Arabidopsis thaliana: one gene and its partner. The protein of the gene in region 2 binds, or shares a complex with, the protein of the main gene of each other region. Each region holds a gene or a part of one and is shown on either strand. Other genes may lie near its edges.

What was found. The genes of interacting proteins can lie anywhere in the genome.
Region 1: EIF3A (region 2) and TIF3H1 share a complex: the UniProt entries of both Arabidopsis thaliana proteins name them as parts of the eukaryotic translation initiation factor 3 (eIF-3) complex.

Annotation. Positions count from the first base shown.
Region 1 is NC_003070.9:3,605,745-3,612,541, forward strand, and holds TIF3H1 (translation initiation factor 3 subunit H1), read right to left. Parts: upstream 4,873-6,797; 5' UTR 4,556-4,872; coding exon 4,546-4,555; exon of another isoform or gene 4,430-4,545; coding exon 4,350-4,429; intron 4,184-4,349; coding exon 4,067-4,183; intron 3,968-4,066; coding exon 3,864-3,967; intron 3,778-3,863; coding exon 3,711-3,777; intron 3,438-3,710; coding exon 3,304-3,437; intron 3,219-3,303; coding exon 3,170-3,218; intron 3,034-3,169; coding exon 2,962-3,033; intron 2,872-2,961; coding exon 2,770-2,871; intron 2,685-2,769; coding exon 2,617-2,684; intron 2,432-2,616; coding exon 2,279-2,431; intron 2,199-2,278; coding exon 2,141-2,198; 3' UTR 1,887-2,140; downstream 1-1,886. Other genes in the region: Z-ISO (15-cis-zeta-carotene isomerase), read right to left, coding at 1-327, 757-966, 1,071-1,217, 1,295-1,705; AT1G10850 (Leucine-rich repeat protein kinase family protein), read left to right, coding at 6,484-6,797. UniProt on the Arabidopsis thaliana protein: Component of the eukaryotic translation initiation factor 3 (eIF-3) complex, which is involved in protein synthesis of a specialized repertoire of mRNAs and, together with other initiation factors, stimulates binding of mRNA and methionyl-tRNAi to the 40S ribosome.
Region 2 is NC_003075.7:6,945,604-6,955,733, forward strand, and holds EIF3A (eukaryotic translation initiation factor 3A), read right to left. Parts: upstream 6,877-10,130; 5' UTR 6,771-6,876; intron 6,508-6,770; 5' UTR 6,451-6,507; coding exon 6,405-6,450; intron 6,299-6,404; coding exon 5,817-6,298; intron 5,729-5,816; coding exon 5,513-5,728; intron 5,380-5,512; coding exon 5,011-5,379; intron 4,923-5,010; coding exon 4,893-4,922; intron 4,804-4,892; coding exon 4,576-4,803; intron 4,461-4,575; coding exon 4,299-4,460; intron 4,183-4,298; coding exon 3,961-4,182; intron 3,871-3,960; coding exon 3,664-3,870; intron 3,583-3,663; coding exon 3,376-3,582; intron 3,287-3,375; coding exon 3,206-3,286; intron 3,050-3,205; coding exon 2,848-3,049; intron 2,743-2,847; coding exon 2,231-2,742; 3' UTR 1,873-2,230; downstream 1-1,872. Other genes in the region: AT4G11410 (NAD(P)-binding Rossmann-fold superfamily protein), read right to left, coding at 179-263, 363-441, 535-688, 821-900, 999-1,230, 1,478-1,583; AT4G11430 (hydroxyproline-rich glycoprotein family protein), read left to right, coding at 7,196-7,225, 8,010-8,639. UniProt on the Arabidopsis thaliana protein: RNA-binding component of the eukaryotic translation initiation factor 3 (eIF-3) complex, which is involved in protein synthesis of a specialized repertoire of mRNAs and, together with other initiation factors, stimulates binding of mRNA and methionyl-tRNAi to the 40S ribosome.

The sequences.
Region 1 (6,797 bases), on a different chromosome or scaffold from region 2:
AAGCCTAAAGCTTGCACCTTGCATTAGCGGGTGAGCAAAATATGCCCCAACCGTTAACGCAGTGATTGCAAGATATGGCAACCTGACAAATTCTTTGTAGTAATCCTCAGGTAAAACTTGCCGTCCTTCGAAAATGGCAGCAAATGGAATCACACTTGTTCTCTTCTTGATGCTTTCAAAATCCTCTCCATATCTTTTTGCCAATCTCCTGTCTCCATTCCACGCCCCAAACAAATGGTGTGCAATCAAACCGAGAGAAGCTGATGCAGCTACTGTGTTTCCGATCCAGAGAGTATGTGCTAAACACCAAACGATTTGTCCAACCATCTGGAGAAGATCAGAGGAGAGAGGTGCAACAATCAAGTCTCATTAACAAAGCCAGTATAATGAAGAGAGAATAGAACAAACCAAAACTGAAGCTAAAATGCCTATCTTTCTATATATTATCAAGTTTTTCCAAACACATGATGAAGCAATTGGATAAGAATTTTAAGATCAAAAGCAATATCAAGTAAAGTAATCAAGCATTGATGTAATAAACATAGAAGGATGAGGAGATTTGATTGTGCTGATGTAATGGGTGTATTTAAGTCAATGGCCAATACCTGCCCATAATTGATTCAATGATTGGGGGTCTCATTAACACAGCCACTAATAAACCTTGGCTCATAAAAATCCAATCTTTCTGTATTTTTGAAACACAAAAATGAAGGAAATTGTCTTCATGTTTAGGCACATTAGGGAAATGTTCAAAACCTGAGGATGTCGAGTGATTCTCATGATGCCGGTCTCCCAGAGATGCATCTTCGGTTTGTCAACAGCTGCTACCTCCAGAAGATTGAAGGTTGAAGGATAGAGAAAGAAGAAGGATACAAAATTAGCGACCCAAATAGCTTCATGGACTCCAGGAACACCCTGAAGCTGCCATAACTGTGACCCATCATATCTATGGTTTATAAAGTAAACCTGAAAGAAGAACAAGGCATTGCATAGACCATAAGAGACATCAAACAGGTATTTATACCATTGATCAGGAGAAAAATTGCAGAGTTAGAAGAGAGAGTACTCACAATGGTGCTCATAGCTAAAGGAAGAGAGATTCCAGCAAACAAAACACGAAATGCTCGTTCACCTATAAGTTTCTCTCCTATATCCCTTAGACTAGCTAAACCACTATGTACAATTGCAAATATAAGGATAAGCATTAACATAGCAACCTGCAAAAACAAGTGGTTTTTAACAATCAAATAACTGAAATTGAAACTGGTTCAGTTACTGTTAAATTGATCTATACCTCCGGTGAGCCGGAGATGTTAGAGACGGCGTCGATGAATGATTTTCCGAAACCGGTGGAATTATCGATCCAAACAACATTGAGGATAAAGAGAACAACTCCAAGGACAACACCGAAATAAACCCAGGAAACAAGCTTCTGTTTCCCTAATTCAAAAGCAGCAGAATCTTCACCGATCAGTAGAGTAGGACTACTCTCGGAGTCAGAGGCGATGGGTTGGTCTTCCCGGAGAGTGCTACGAACCAGAATTTTCCGAATTACCGGTGACGAAGAAGAAAGCAAGCTGGTCGAGTTTCCGAGGCGAGGATGAGCTGGGATACGGCGGATTAAGGTGAGGTTAGGGCGGCGAGGAGAAGGAGGGAGAAGAAGAAGCGAAGGTGGGCTCGAGAGAAGGAGATGATAAACCGCCATTGTTCTTGTTGGTAAACAATCTTTCGAAGAGGAAGTAATAAAAAGATGTCGTTTTTAAATTTCTTCAAACAATCGTCCGAAGAAGAAATAATAAACGTTGTCGTTCAAGGGATTTAGCGATGGAACTAACACTACAACTATAATAAAATCTCTATAAATTAGATTTTTTACTCTTTTGATTAGGATTTTGATAACTATGTATAATTTGTTGTAAGGCAATCAGAGGTCCAATACAAGATAAATCTTTCAAAACTTCAATAATTTTTCATTATGCATAAGAATAAAGATTTTTTTTGAAAAGCTTGTAAATTAAATTACTTCACAACAACAAAAATAAAAACAAAAACATCCACGAAAAACAAATATAGGATCCATTCTACCACCAAGTCTTTCACTTTCTGACTCAAAAAACAAAAACTTGGGTAGTCTTTGCAATCAGTTGTCGTGCAATGCTTTGGTCAGGTAAAGCCTGCTGAAGTTCTGGCCAGCCACTCTGCATAACAACAGGTCGACTCATTTTAAGTATCTTTCAAAGCTCCAAAAATGGTGAAACAATACTAAAGAGGAACATACCCATTGATTTGGCCACAGAAGTTTGAGACTTGGTTTGTGATGAGGAAACTCTCTAGCCTAGATGGTTCAGGGATCGCCTTAAAGATTGGGTTTGAAGGATCCTCTTCTGGTAAAGGCTCCTCTCCAGCTGATTTACGAGCCATGTTCTCCGTTCTATAAACCAAACACCTCTTTCATTAGTTGGAAGATCAAAAGGACAAGGAAAAGCTGAAGACAAATGTTACAAGGCATTCACAACTCTCGTAAGTAAAGTTGTATCACCTTCCAAGATAACGAGGTAGTGAAACTAATCAAACCTGAACTAGAACAAAAAGGTTCTGCAGAAAATATAAACCTACCTTCTCTTCTGGAGCCAGGCTTGCTGTTGTGCTTGCTGACGAGACAGGTTCCGGTAGTAATACTGGAACTGGAGAAATAAATTAAGATTTTGCGTTAAGATAGTTCGGACTTCTGATGATGAGAATTGAACAAGAGTGCAGAAGAAACCACACCTTTTGCTGTTCCATAGATAAATCATCCATGCATTTAATCAAAAACTCCATATTGTTCTCAAGGAAAGGAGTGGTTGATGAGTGTAGACGATCATAATCGCCCTAGAAAGGCGAAAATACAGAAGTATCAAGAGTCAAAATCTGCAATGCTGACAGCAAGCAAGGATCACTATCCAGATAGTAGTATTGTACCTGTGAGACAGGTGTATCAGTCTCCAGTTCGGTCATAAAGGCACTGACAAGGGCAGAATTTGAAACCTTGATCTGTCAAAGGAAAAGTAACAAACATTTAAACCACTTTTTTTGTCAGAGGAAAATATAATTAGGTAACAATTCCAACCTAGTGACTTGAAAAGATTAGCTGGTAAGAATTCAATATAGAAGAAAGCTAGAGACTTACAGGTATTTCCTCAAAAATATCCATCCAGGAGAAATTTTTCTCTCTCAACCTGAAAAAGATAGTGATTAAAACGTTACAACTATCATCCTAAGTGGCTCATAAAACCTAGATTTTCAATGGATCAAGATACATACTTCTCGCCAGTAAAGTTTCCACCTCGGTACAACTCCATAAAGGAATCTGAAAGCTTCAAAGCCTTCAAAGCTAAGACGCCTAGATCAGCTTTAGAGGGATCATATATGATGCACACACACCTCTTGATATTCTCCTGTAGATGCAGAAGAATCATTTCTTAAGAGTTCATATCATGATTCTGCAAGGGATTGTAACAGAGTTGCGGACAAAAAAAGTCTCAGAAAATATATTCATGATCCAATTTACATTCAACTTTTACACATGCCAATATACCTATCATACACTAGAGTAGCCATGCTATACATATAAATTTCCAGCTGAATGAAGAGCATAACATATGAACAGACCAAATCTAGAATGTTATAATGACATGGTAGACAGGATTCTTTAACAAAAAAAAAAGTACCTGGTAATTCATGAAGGTCTCAATCAGTTCCACAGTCTGATACGAACCAAGAACTGTAGATTGATACCTGAACAAAGAATTAGGCAGATCTAAATACATTCACAAGAAAAAATTTAACAAGTGAACTCAGACTGATGTCATTAAAAAACCTACCAGCCAACAGTGTTGTTGTCAACATTAACCTCCCTCAGACATCTCATCATCTCAAGCTGATAATTAGCACCATCAGCTTCAATTTCTTCATCATCATCCCTGACCTGTCCTCGTTTAAGATACAAATTCCAGTAAATCACATGTACATCAATCATGAACAAGCTCTTAAATCCTCACAATGCGTGTAAAATTCATCAACATACCGGGAAAGGAAAACAATTGGTAACTTCGAGGACGCTACCAACATCAAGTCCAAGAAGCTGTCCAGTGACAAGGGTCGGTGAAAACTCCTTGCAGTGTTTGATTATCTTTAGTACAGCCTATCACAATAGCAAACAAAATTCTCAGCATCACAACTTCCTACCAAATGATAATGGGCAAATTAGCTTCACCTAGAGAGTTTTTATTTATCAAACACCATCGGTCAGCAGAAAACGAGGAAAAACACTTAAAACCGTAAAATCAGGGAACACTAAGAAACGTTACCAGTCCTTCGATCTGAACAACTCTAAGCGGAGGAGCCACCGCCTCATCCTTCGATATCGCCTGCAGAAACGACCTAGCCACTGCAGAAATAAACCACGGAAGAAACTTAGCACGACATATACAGAAATCGTCAATAAACAGATGCAAATATTAATTCTATGTCCTAGTGAAGAACAGAGAGGATGATTATACTGACTGGTTGCCATTGAAATAGTCTCCGGTGATAGTGAAAGCTTCCTAGGTCAAAGAACTTGAATCTCCGCCGTGAAACCCTAACGATGTGATATTTTTACTGCCGGCGGCGGAGATGAGTAAGAGAAAGAACTTTATGTGTTTGATAGGGCTTCTCGAGGATCCGCAGATTTTTTTTTCCCTTCAATTTGGGTGTAGAGAGGAAAAAAAAAAAGCGTTTCGCAGTTAAAATTGCAAAAGAGCCCTAAAATTTGAGATTCTTATAGAATGATCCCTAAATGTTTTCCGACCTATAATAAGGATGGACCCAGCCCATGGACCTATAATGCTATTCTCTTGTAAAAGGCCAGGACCATAATATTCCTCAAAATATTGAACATTTAATTTAATAGCATGGGCCCATTACACTAACCAACTAGTCAAAACTTAGTAAGAAAAAACAAACAGTCATGGAGTCAACTAGAATCCAAAACTTTTAGAAACTTTCCCTCCAAATTCCATCCGGTATTAGGGTTTAATCGAAAAAGAGGACTAATTCAAAGTCTAATCTTTAGTAACCAACTTTAAAAAGTCTATAAGACATGGTCATTTCATAAGTCCGTAAGAAAATCAACAATGTCCTAAATAAACGGCAAAAACTAGAGAATCACCACTGGTATCAAAAAACGTAAAACCAAATATATAAAACGTATTAAATGTACTATAGTTTATTACTCGAAAGTCGAAAACCTTGATGATTCATTGAAGGTCAAAGAAGTCAACAATAATATTGATGCCAAATTAAATGACTGCAGTCTCTTTGCGAGGTTGGTGTTTGGACTGGTGGACCGCTGGTTAATAATTAACTCAGCCTTTACGTGAACTCAATTCTCACCTCTTCTTTATTACATTTTCATCACGCTTAAGCTAAGCAACTAATAAATTCCTAATTTAATAAACACTTCAACATCCTCGTTTTAGAGATTGAATACCAACCATGAATGTTAACACATCTTTAACTTTCCTCTCAAACAAAAATCCAACAATCTATATCCTCATTGTATAAATAACATGAGGTCCATATTAAAATACGATTAAAAATATTATAAAAACCATGTGAAGATTCAACAAGAAAAAGAGGTAGGAAAAAAAAGCAGCTCAATAATTGGTAGAGAGTGCAAAGAGGAACCAGACACCAACTGAATAAAATTGAAAAACAATGTCTCTCCTTACTTTAAATAAATCATCCCTAAAATTAATTATTCCCACCATATTTCTTCTGCTCCATACCACACTTCACCATAAAATCTCTATATAAATTTTCTCAGCAGCAGTAACTACCTTGGCCCCAAAACCTATCTGTCTCTGAATCTTGGCAAAGTAATAGCAACCATAACAATAACGACAAAAATATACGTGAATTATTTTTCTCTTTCTCCTTCGTCTCTCCTTCATAAACCCATTATTAATTTTTTTTATAATACTACTATTATTCATGAATGCATTGAAGATGTCACAGTGAGAACAAAAAAAAAGTTTTCCAGGCATGGCTTCACGTGATGACATCTTCCTCGACCAAGAACTTCGAGAAAAGATACTCAGAAAGTGAAGTGAGAGAGAGAGAAAATGCCGGGGAATTTTAATGCTTCTTCTTCTCTTCTTAGTGCTCACTACCAGAAGATTTCTTTCCGCCATTAAAGAGCAGAGTAGAGCAGAGCTCTCACTTTCTTCTTCTTCTTCTTCATTTTTTACCTTTCCCTTTTTTGCTTCGATCGAGATGCTTTAGCATAATGGGGCAGATCTGGAAAGTGACTTAATAATAGAAAGTGATGGCTTTGAGGAGATTCATGGGATGCTTTTTATGGAAACTCGATTTCGAACTGTATCAATCATTTCTGTTTCTTTTATGAGCTGAGGAAAAGAGCCACTCTTTCTGATTTGATTGATTCATCATTCATCGACAATGGCTTCTTCTTCTTCTTCTTCGTCTTCGAGTACGGTGTCGTTCGTAGTCTTTGCATTTACAGTCTTCTTCTGTTTGGTTACTCCGGCGAGATCTAGCGACGTCGAAGCTTTACTAAGCTTGAAATCTTCAATCGATCCATCTAATTCGATTTCTTGGAGAGGAACAGATCTCTGCAACTGGCAAGGTGTTAGAGAATGTATGAATGGAAGAGTCTCCAAGCTTGTTCTTGAGTACTTGAATCTCACCGGCTCACTTAACGAGAAGAGTTTGAACCAGTTGGATCAACTTAGGGTTCTTAGTTTCAAAGCTAA
Region 2 (10,130 bases):
TAGTTAATTATAATACAGGATCAAACATCACCTAGGATATGAGTCACAGTGCAGGCTCAAACTAAATTTTACAAGGCGACACAAGTTAATCCGTTGTTTATCGAGTGTCAGTCCAGTATGCAGTATTAAATAAACAAAGGAAAGTCAGAAATGATATATAAGGCGAAAGAGGATTTACTATTTATGAAGCTGTGGTAGCGTAAAAGATTGGTCATAATGGATCCAGGATGAAGTGAATTAGCAGTGATATTCACACCTTGTTCCTGTTTTAAGCAAAACAAAGATGAACCAAACCTAACTCCTCTAGCTTTCTCTTTGACCTTTGGAATTGACTACGAATCAACTGCGAAATACTATCTTACCTTGAATAGCCTAGCGAGCTCAGTAGCGTGCAAGATGTTACCGAGCTTTGACTGACCATATGCTTGCAAAGTATTGTACCTGTAGAGAAACAGTGAGAGCAATAGCAGTATGTTATTAGTTTACTACACTAGAACTCAAAAGTAATAAACAATACTATCACATAACAATCACCTTGCTTCATCATTTATTTTGTCAAACTGAACACCTTCCCGGTAAGCAAATCGATGACCTTCTGATGAGACAATAACAATTCTTCCTTCTCTATTGCTTTCACTAGCTGTTTTCTTCATCCTCTCCAAAAGAAGGTTTGTCAACAGAAAATGACCTGAAGCATTGTACAAAACATAAACCTTATAACATAGAAAATGTTCCTCATCATACTTCAAACGATGAAGCAAAAGTTCAAACAAAGAAGCAAAAAGGGAGGAGATCATAAGTTCTTCTAAACTAAACATACCCAAATGATTGGTTGCAAACTGTAATTCAATGTTGTCGCTAGAAAGCAAGAAGGGACATGCCATAATCCCCGCATTATTGCTACAAAAACAAGAACAAAGATTAAGCCGACTAACACATATTAACATTCACTAATCCAGCAATTACTGAAACAAACTACAAACTTAGAGAGACTTTACATGAGAAGATTCAAGGGAAGGTCCAAAGACTGATACTCTGATGCAAAGCTCCTGACAGAAGCCATAGAGCTAAGATCCAACTTCATTACATCAATCTTAGCCTGAGGTATTTCCTTAAGTATCTTATCTCTGACTTGATTACCAGAATCTGTATTCCTTACCGCCATTACAACATGAACACCACGAAGAGCAAGAACACGAGTAGTCTCTTCCCCAATACCACTTGATGCTCCTGAAATCAAATAAAACATATACATCAAAAACCAGCAAAATCTTCTCCTTTGCTTCAAGATGTGTTCTTAACAAGCCTGATAAAGTTTAATCCTTTAGTCCATTAACAGATACCAACAACAACTTGAGTTCAAGGGCAGGATCAAAACCAAGAAATTAAACTATAGACTGAACATAGATCATAAAAAAGTTGAAAACATCTGCACGAAGAAGAAGAAGAAGAAGAAGAAGAAGAAGAAGAAGAGGACCTGTGACGATAGCAGTGAGACCAGTACCATCGATTCCATGAGTGACTTCTTCAGCTGTGGAACGAGCAGAGAACCCAGATGCTCCTTTCCACCAAAAAGGCCACATGTTTGTTTTGTTTCTATCTTCTGTACCACAAAATTAAAGTCTAATCTCAACCAAACCAACGCTAGCTGATGATCAAACACACACCCTAGTAAAGTTGACCAATTATAAAATTTCTTTTTCCGAGAGCTTTTGCAATGTGCCCATGCTCTGTTCTCAAAACAAGGCACTGAAGAATCTCGTATAAAAGTATTAATTACAGTTTCATTTGTTTTCTTCCTTAATCCAGAGATAAGAATAAAGATGTTTGTATACACTATTTACATTTTTGATACAAATGTTGTTAAATGTGAAATTTGGTATTCGTTTATTGTTCTTCATAAACTAATAATAAGCAATTAACAAAAAGTTTGCTTGAAAGAGAAGCTGATCAATGTCAAAGGTTTTTACAGCAGAAAGTTGGAAATAAATTGGACAAACAAAGAAAGATCCAACCGAAGAAGGAAATAACAACTCTCTCTGGGTGTGTAGAGCAAAAAACGAGTCTAACATGTTTTAAAATCTTTCATAAAAACTTATAAAAGATGAGCAATCTTCAAAAGAAGAAGAGACAGGTTTGGGCTAAAGAAGAGTGCTGTGATGTTGAAAATCCAGAGATAACCTTTTTCATTCATTCCCATGGAGATTGAGACCAAAAAAATTATTATTACTCAACGCTGTGTTGGCCTGGGCCTGGAGCTTCCAAATGTGGATCGGCGATCATCACTGCCTCTAGGACCAGAACCCCAACGGTCTCCTCCTTCAGCTGGAGGTCCAGATCTTTCCCTATTACTAGTCCACCGGTCAGTATTCTGAGCGGCTCCTCTGTTGCTTCCCCAGTGGTCATCTCCGGGAGGCGGCCCACGGTTGGACCGTCGGTCAGTTTCTGATGATGTTGGTGCTGATGGGCCTGAGACCTCAGTAGTCTGGCGCTTCCACTTCGGAACATAAGGTGCTGCTGGTGCTCCTGCTGCTGCTGCTGCTGCTGCTGGTGCGGTAGTTCCAACAGGAGTAACAGTAGGCTCTGCAAGGCGAGCAGGTGGTGCATTAGTTCCTCTCAACAGCTCTTCTCGTTCCCGCCTACTTTTCTCTTCCAGCTCTATCTCTCTCTGCCTTTGCTTCTCAAAAGCTTTATCCAAGTTTGCTTTGCGTTCAGCTTCTACCTTCTTGAGCCTCTCAGCTTCTACATTAGAGGAAAACCCAAAAAATAAACAGAAACAAGGGGTTATTAAGAAAAACTTCAATATCAAAGTCAAAATGATGTGGATTTATGGAAGCAAGTCCACACCTTCCTGCTTGCGAGCTTCCTCTTCTTCCTGCAGCTTCCTAATCCTTTCTTCTTCAATTTTCAAATAATATATCTGCTTCCTCTTGATATCCCTTTCTTGCTTCTTCTCTCGGATTATTTTACTGATACGCTCCTCTCTCTCCGTCCTGATTCTGTCAAACTCTGCTTGTCGACGACTAATCACTTGTGCTTGGAATATTTCCTGGGCACAGAAAGATTCGATTATAAGTACATTGGAAGGAAAAGTTACAGGAAAAATGTAAGAAACTAGAGAGCTTTAAAATTAATTCAATAACGAAAAGAGATTCAGATCAAAGATGAACATTAAGAGAAACAACATGACATGTCAAAGACTGACCTTATTACCCAACATTCTGGACAACCTGTTCTTCTCCTTCAAGTCACTCTCATGACGCTCTTTACTGAGTTCAACTTCACGCTGCATAGGAGAAGAGCTTTTAAGACCTCATATACTTCCAACACAGAACCAAGTTGTAAGAAAAGAAAAACTACTGAAACAGTAAGTACCTGTTGTTCACGCTCATAAAACTCTCTTTCCTCTACCAGTCTTCGCTGATATGCAGCTTCAATCAATGGAGCAGCCTCTTCTCTCTTTGCTCTTTCCAAATAATCCATCGTTTTGGCAAGCTTTTGAAGCTTCTTCTCCATTTCTTGCCTTTCCTTGAGCTGCTCAGTTAAGGCCCTTTCCTTCACAGATTGCTTTGTCACCTTCTCCTATATTTAGTTTAACCCAACCGACATTAGTAATAAGTTAATCAGTGAACTATATAATAGCTAACATATTGGTAAACTTACTCCGTCTAAAAGTGGCTTCTTCTTTCCCTTTTTCATGCGCTTCTCTGTCTCTTCCAGTAAAGCTTGGGCTTCTTCAAGCTCCTTCTCCTCTATCTCTCTAAGGATTCTTTGTTTTCTTCTCTCTGCAAGCTCTGCTGCAAGTCTCTTTTGTTCTGCCTCTTCAGTTAGCTTCTGAAGCTTAAGCCGTTTCTGCTCCTCTTCACGTTCCTTCAAAAGTAAACATCAAATAAAGGAATTTTCATAAACAGGTACAGCGTAAAAGGAGAGCTGTGCAAATAACCATGGAAAAGTAACTACCATTTCTAGTTGCTGACGCTCTTGATCCTCCTTCCTCTTTTCAATGATTGATTTACGAGCAAGCAGTCTTTTGTGCTCTTTCTCAACAGTATCTGCTAAATTTGGTATAACGCCAGCTAGTTTTGATGCTTTACTTGGGACAGGATACAGCATAGCTCTTACTTTGCTCAAAGACTCGGCAAAAACAGCCAGATGATCCCTCAGTCCATCAGACTCAATACCCTAATATACAAACAGTTGATCAAATAGATTAGTATTTAGTCAATAAGTTAAAAATTATATTACTCAACTACATATGATATAATCAGTGTTGAGCTGAAGCTTTAACAGAGGCTTACCAAATTTCCAAAAATTACAACACCCTTCATGTGATCAACTTTCATGGCAACAAAATTGTTCTTCACAGCATCAACAGAAATCTTCTCTACCTCTGAGAATTGAAAGAAGGGTACCAACTGAGATAAACTCTCAATTCTTATTGTCTGATAAATCTTAGACACCTGAAAATAAAATCGGAACATAGAACATTTAGTATGCAGAAAAAGGGATAAACCACCAGAAAAATCCAAAATGGTTGAATGGGTATTGACCTACAACATAGAGAACAAGGCTTACCTGTTGAAGTAGCCTCAGAGTAGCAAGCTTCTCCAGAGAAGGAACATATTGGGAAAGTTGCACTTCTGGTAAAGAAGGAGCTGAGGACAGTTTCCCACCAGATTTGGAAATCTTTTCCAGCAAAGGCTGAATCTTGGAGCCAAGATCAAGTGGGTGAAATTCATGCTCCAAAACATGGAAAAGATCTTTGACCTCCTGAGATGCACAGCTCAAAACACCTTTTGAAACCTAATTGCATAAAAATCAGCCTCCAAATCAGATATTTGTAAGTCGACAAATATTCTAAACCACAGACAGGGTAACAGCTAGAGACTCACCAGCTCTGACAGAAGAGCTGACCGGGAAAGCTGAAACAGGAAGGAAATGGAATTAGAATACTAAACCAGAAAGAAAGGGCGCAAAATAAAAATGAAGCAACATAAGAACCTATGTTACCATATCTTTGCCCTCAAATTTAGGTTCAAGATTGAATCCAATGAGGTTAGCCATCCTCAAATTGCGTTCTTTCTCATTTTCAAGTTCCATATGGGATGCGCTCTGAGCCCGATCAAATGGTGGAATGGACAATGCCGCCAAGACAACAGATGACGCTATTAGCTGCAAATCCTTTTGGCTTAAATTCTTGTTGAAATTTTTCTGCAGACTAAACAGCTTAAACCATGCATAAGCATGATAAAGATGGCTAGAAGAAATCCAGAAGATCTCAGTCAATTTGGAATAATAAACCATCAATAAAGATGACTTGGGCGTTTTTTTGACCATGCACATTAATCCATAGATATCTTCAACAGAGCGAAAAGCTTCCTGCAAAGATACATCACGAACCATACTAACTTATTTCCAGTAATTATACAGAGGATAAGCTATATACAGCCAAACTAAATATGGAATAGAGAAGGTAGCATCAGAAAAATACACATAGAAAACAAAAACGCACCTGCCAAAGTCCAAGCTCAGTAGCAACTTTCAACTGATCAAACCTTGTGTCCAGATACAGCTGCAAGCTCTCAGGGGCTGATAAGTCAGGTCGGTCCCTTTGGTCTCTGTACTTGTTCAGGTTTGCCAAATGATTTCTTATAATTTCACAAAGCCTACGGAACTCTGTTGTTCGCTTGTACTGCTTACAGAACTGGAAGGCTTTATGTGCTGTCATCTACAAGATTATAAAGTACAAGTCTTCAATCTCAATCAACTTAAAATCAGAGGTATCACCAATAAGCTTAACCTAGAAGAAAACAAACCGCATAAAGTGCTTCCAACTTTGAGTTGTTTCGCAATATCTCAAGGACTGTCCTGTATGTCTCCCACAGAAACTTAAACCATGGGGTGACCAACTCACGGTCAGACCTATCTTTTCCCTTCTCCCCACTGACAATACTTAGCTGTAAATCCTCAGGCTTCCTATCAGCTTCAAGGTCATCAACATCAAGAGCCTCCTCAAGGGCATCCGCCTGAGACCGAGCTTGCTCAGCTTTGTCAGTAGCAAGATGTAGGAAGTGCTTGATAACTTCCTCCAAGGAACTGACATTCACTTGCTGGCAAACAATACGATACTGAATCAATCCATCCTTAGCGAATCGACCCCTCTTCAAGTCAACACAAAGATCAAGATACTTAAACATGATCTTCTCAAGCGGTTTCTGCCAAGCTCTGTATCTCTTGGAAGTAATGAGATCATGAAGCGCCTGAAGAGCATCTTGTTTCTGTCCAACATTGATCAATTCTACACACACAAAAAAAAAGTGTTTAACACAATCTCAATTCATACACACCCTAACCACATCCATTTGACCAAATGGATGTTAAAACGAAAACATTTCGTAACTTACCATCAGCACGCTTCAACGCGTTCTCTGGTTTGGCAAAATTCGCCATGTTTCAGACGAAAAAAGCTAGTAACAAACTCTAACGCAAGGGACACTCTCAATTAGCCTGAAAAACACAGAGAAGCGATTTTGTTACAGAGATCACCAGAATCCGAAAAACCCAATCAGATATCTCAGAAAAGGATGGAAGCTACATAGACCAGAAAAAACTTGCCCAAACCCTAAATTCATTTCATAGAATCAAAATAACACAGAAAGATTCGATAACCTGACCCAAACCCTAACCCAGATCAATTCAATGAGATTTGATTAAAAGGCAGTAGAGATCCAATCACTGATGCAAGAACAGAGCCGAAACTTAGGACTAACCTTGTAGCCGTGAAAAGAGAAGACTGATAAGAGAGACGAGAAGCGAAGCGGAAGCAACTCTAGGGTTTCTGGTATTAATATTATCGTTCTACATATATATTACCCATATTTGCAGAAATCATCCTATTTTCTTACGGTTTCGAAATGACCCCGTTTTATCTTCTTAGTGTTTATAAAACCCAATTTGTCTAATACTGGGATGTGATTCAATTGAGATCAACAAAATTTATGGATTTCATTTTCGAATTATCATTTACAATATACTCTCTATATTTTGTTTAATAATATTTTTAGCAATTAACTTTGATATTTCTATATTATTAACTAAACATACATTTAAGTAAATAGCCAACAACATATTAAATATTACATAAAATGCCACTACAAAAATTCATTTCAAAAAAACAATTGATTTACATAAAATCATGAAAGGTAAAAAATTCAACTGTAAAAGGGTGTTATTGGTTTATGATTTCAAAAGAGTTTTAATGACTTAAAGTGTAATATAGAATCTGATGTTATTCAATTAAATTTTTTTTAAAGTATAATTGTGTTAACCCGCTTTAATATTTATAATTGGGCAATTATAAATTCATATAAAAAAAATTAATTATGATTATTGCATTTATATAAAAAAATTGAAAATTTGAATATGATTTTTTCTATTACAAATAGGGATTGTTAGCTTACTTTTAACTGTTTTTTTCTTAATTATACTAGGTAAGTAACAAGAGTATAAGAACATTATACAGTTCAAAATATATATTTAAGCAAGGCATTGGAAATATGTGATGGAAAATTAATATAACAGATTATTTTTGAATTATTTTACTATCGACGTATTTTTTTTGTCGGAACTGTCGCTCACGATTTGCAATAGAACATAGCCATATGTAATCATTTTGATCTATATTTTTGAGTTACTCCAAGATTCAAACAATTTAAATTCCGTTATAATCTACAATTAACCTTCCATCCAATTCCAAAATCAACAATATTTTAGCCAATTTGTGCGATGATCATGAATTTGTTTTGTTAAATTCATTGATTTTCTAGAATCCAACATGTACATAAAAAAAATTAGTGGAAATTGATATATTTTTTTGGGAAATTTGCAGAAATAACTAACAAAAAAACTATAATTCACTAACTAACCATCCTAACTATGTAATTATAATATTCTCTGTATTATATGTAATATTACTCAATTTGCCCTTGTTGCCTCAATACCTTCAGTAGCAACCACCACCGCTGGCCACCACCGCCGGCCACCACCGCCGGTCACCACCGCCGGCCACCACCGGTCACCACCACCGGTCACCACCGCCGGCCATCACTGCCTGCCACCACCGCCGGCCACCACTGCCTGCCACCACCGCCGGCCATCACCGCCAACTTCGGCCACCATCTATTCCGGTCACCACCAACACCGGTCACCGTCACTGTCGGCCACCATCAAATCCGGCCACCACCAACTCCGGCCACCACCAACTTCGGCCACCACCACCACCGCCACCACCACTGTCGGCCATCACCACCACCGGCCACCACCACCACCGCCGGTCACCACCACCACCACCACCACCACCACCACCACCGCCGACCATCACCCCGCCGGTCACCACCACCACCGCCGGCCACCACCACCACCGCCGGTCACCACCACCACCACCACCACCACCACCACCACCGCCGACCATCACCCCGCCGGTCACCACCACCACCACCGGCCACCACCACCACCGGCCACCACCACCACCGCCGGCAACCACCACACCGATCACCAACACTTCCGACCACCATCAACTCCATCCACCACCGCCGGCCACAACCATCACCACCACTACCATCTCCAATCAAAAAGACTAATTTAGTAAGTTTACTACCCTCTAGTGTTAGTTTCTACATTTTGTATATTATAGTGTTAGTTTCTTAAATAAATTATCAAAAACAGTTAGTTTTGCAATTCACCCATATTTTTTTCTCGTAAATGTTTTTTTATTGATCGAAAGTCTACGGCACAAGGTATTCTTACAAGACAATATTTTAAGAGCTAACAAAACGAATATATAGTCCACAAAGATAGACCCAAGATTAAACCCTCCAAAGAAAGAAAAGAGACAGCAAAGCAAACTATCTTCATATCACAAGACGCGTCAGACGGTAAAGATGAGATTACGACACATGTTGATTTCACAACCTCCACCGCAAGAGATCCAACTTCCGATGAATTTTAGATCGTCACCGGAAAACTAAGTTCGAGCAATCAAATCTTCTGTTTCTCACCGTAATGACAATCGCAGATCACCATACTGATTTGCTCACGACTGATTCTTAACCAATTGAATCTCTGATTCCTTGACAACAACGACGAAAAGGTAATTCAAGATCTACACAACAACTAAAGCTTTTAATTAGGAACCTAAAGCACATTCAAACCATGAACTGTTTTAACCGAGTAACATCCGCTTAGAGATTAAGCCAATAAAGCTTCCAACCAACAACTAAAAACATAAAAGAAAGCAATCATCTTCATAGATCGGTGGGAAGAAATAACCACAATTATGTTGAACTCAATCCAAAGGCACTAGAAAAAACCATCATCCACAACTCCGATTTGTTTCTTTTAAAATTGAAATCGATAAGCTTGAAAAACAAAACGAGCCTTTTAATCAAAGGAGGTTTAAGGAATTCTAATTCCAGATCTAAGAATTGAAACACAAGAGGGCCAATCAAACCAAATGTAAAGAAAACTAAAGAACGAAAAGATAAATTTAAACCGGAAAAAATCCGATTAGAAGCTAGACGAGACACAATAGAAGGACGATGAAACTCTAGATATAAGCCAGTCAACCGCCTTTGTAAAAGCCGACAGATGCCAGACGCTAGCCGACCACCACCGTAAAGAGAAACGGACGGTGTCAAAACTAAAGCTGGCCAAACATTGCCATAAAAACGAAAGTTATCGGATAAAAAGCCAAAAAGTCAAAAGCCAAAAGATTCTAAACGGATAGTTGGACAACGGAACTACCGTTGCCAGAGAAAAAACTCTAATGACTTCCTTTCTAAAAAAATATAGGAGAGGGAAGTCCACCCGATTAGTGGAATTTGATTATTGAACAAAACCAGTTTTTCCATTTTTTCGCAATTGTAACAAAAAAACAAAGGTAAAAATAAAAACGAAAAAGTAAAACCCTTCGAGAAGAAGAAGCAGCGCATAAACCCCCATCGGCCAGAGAAAATGAGCAATTTGGGATCTCGATCTTCTACCGACAAAGAGCTTATCAGCTTCTCAAGGTTTTGGTTAATTTGAGCTACAGATTTTTGGATTATCGATGATATCTAGCTTCGAGAAATTTT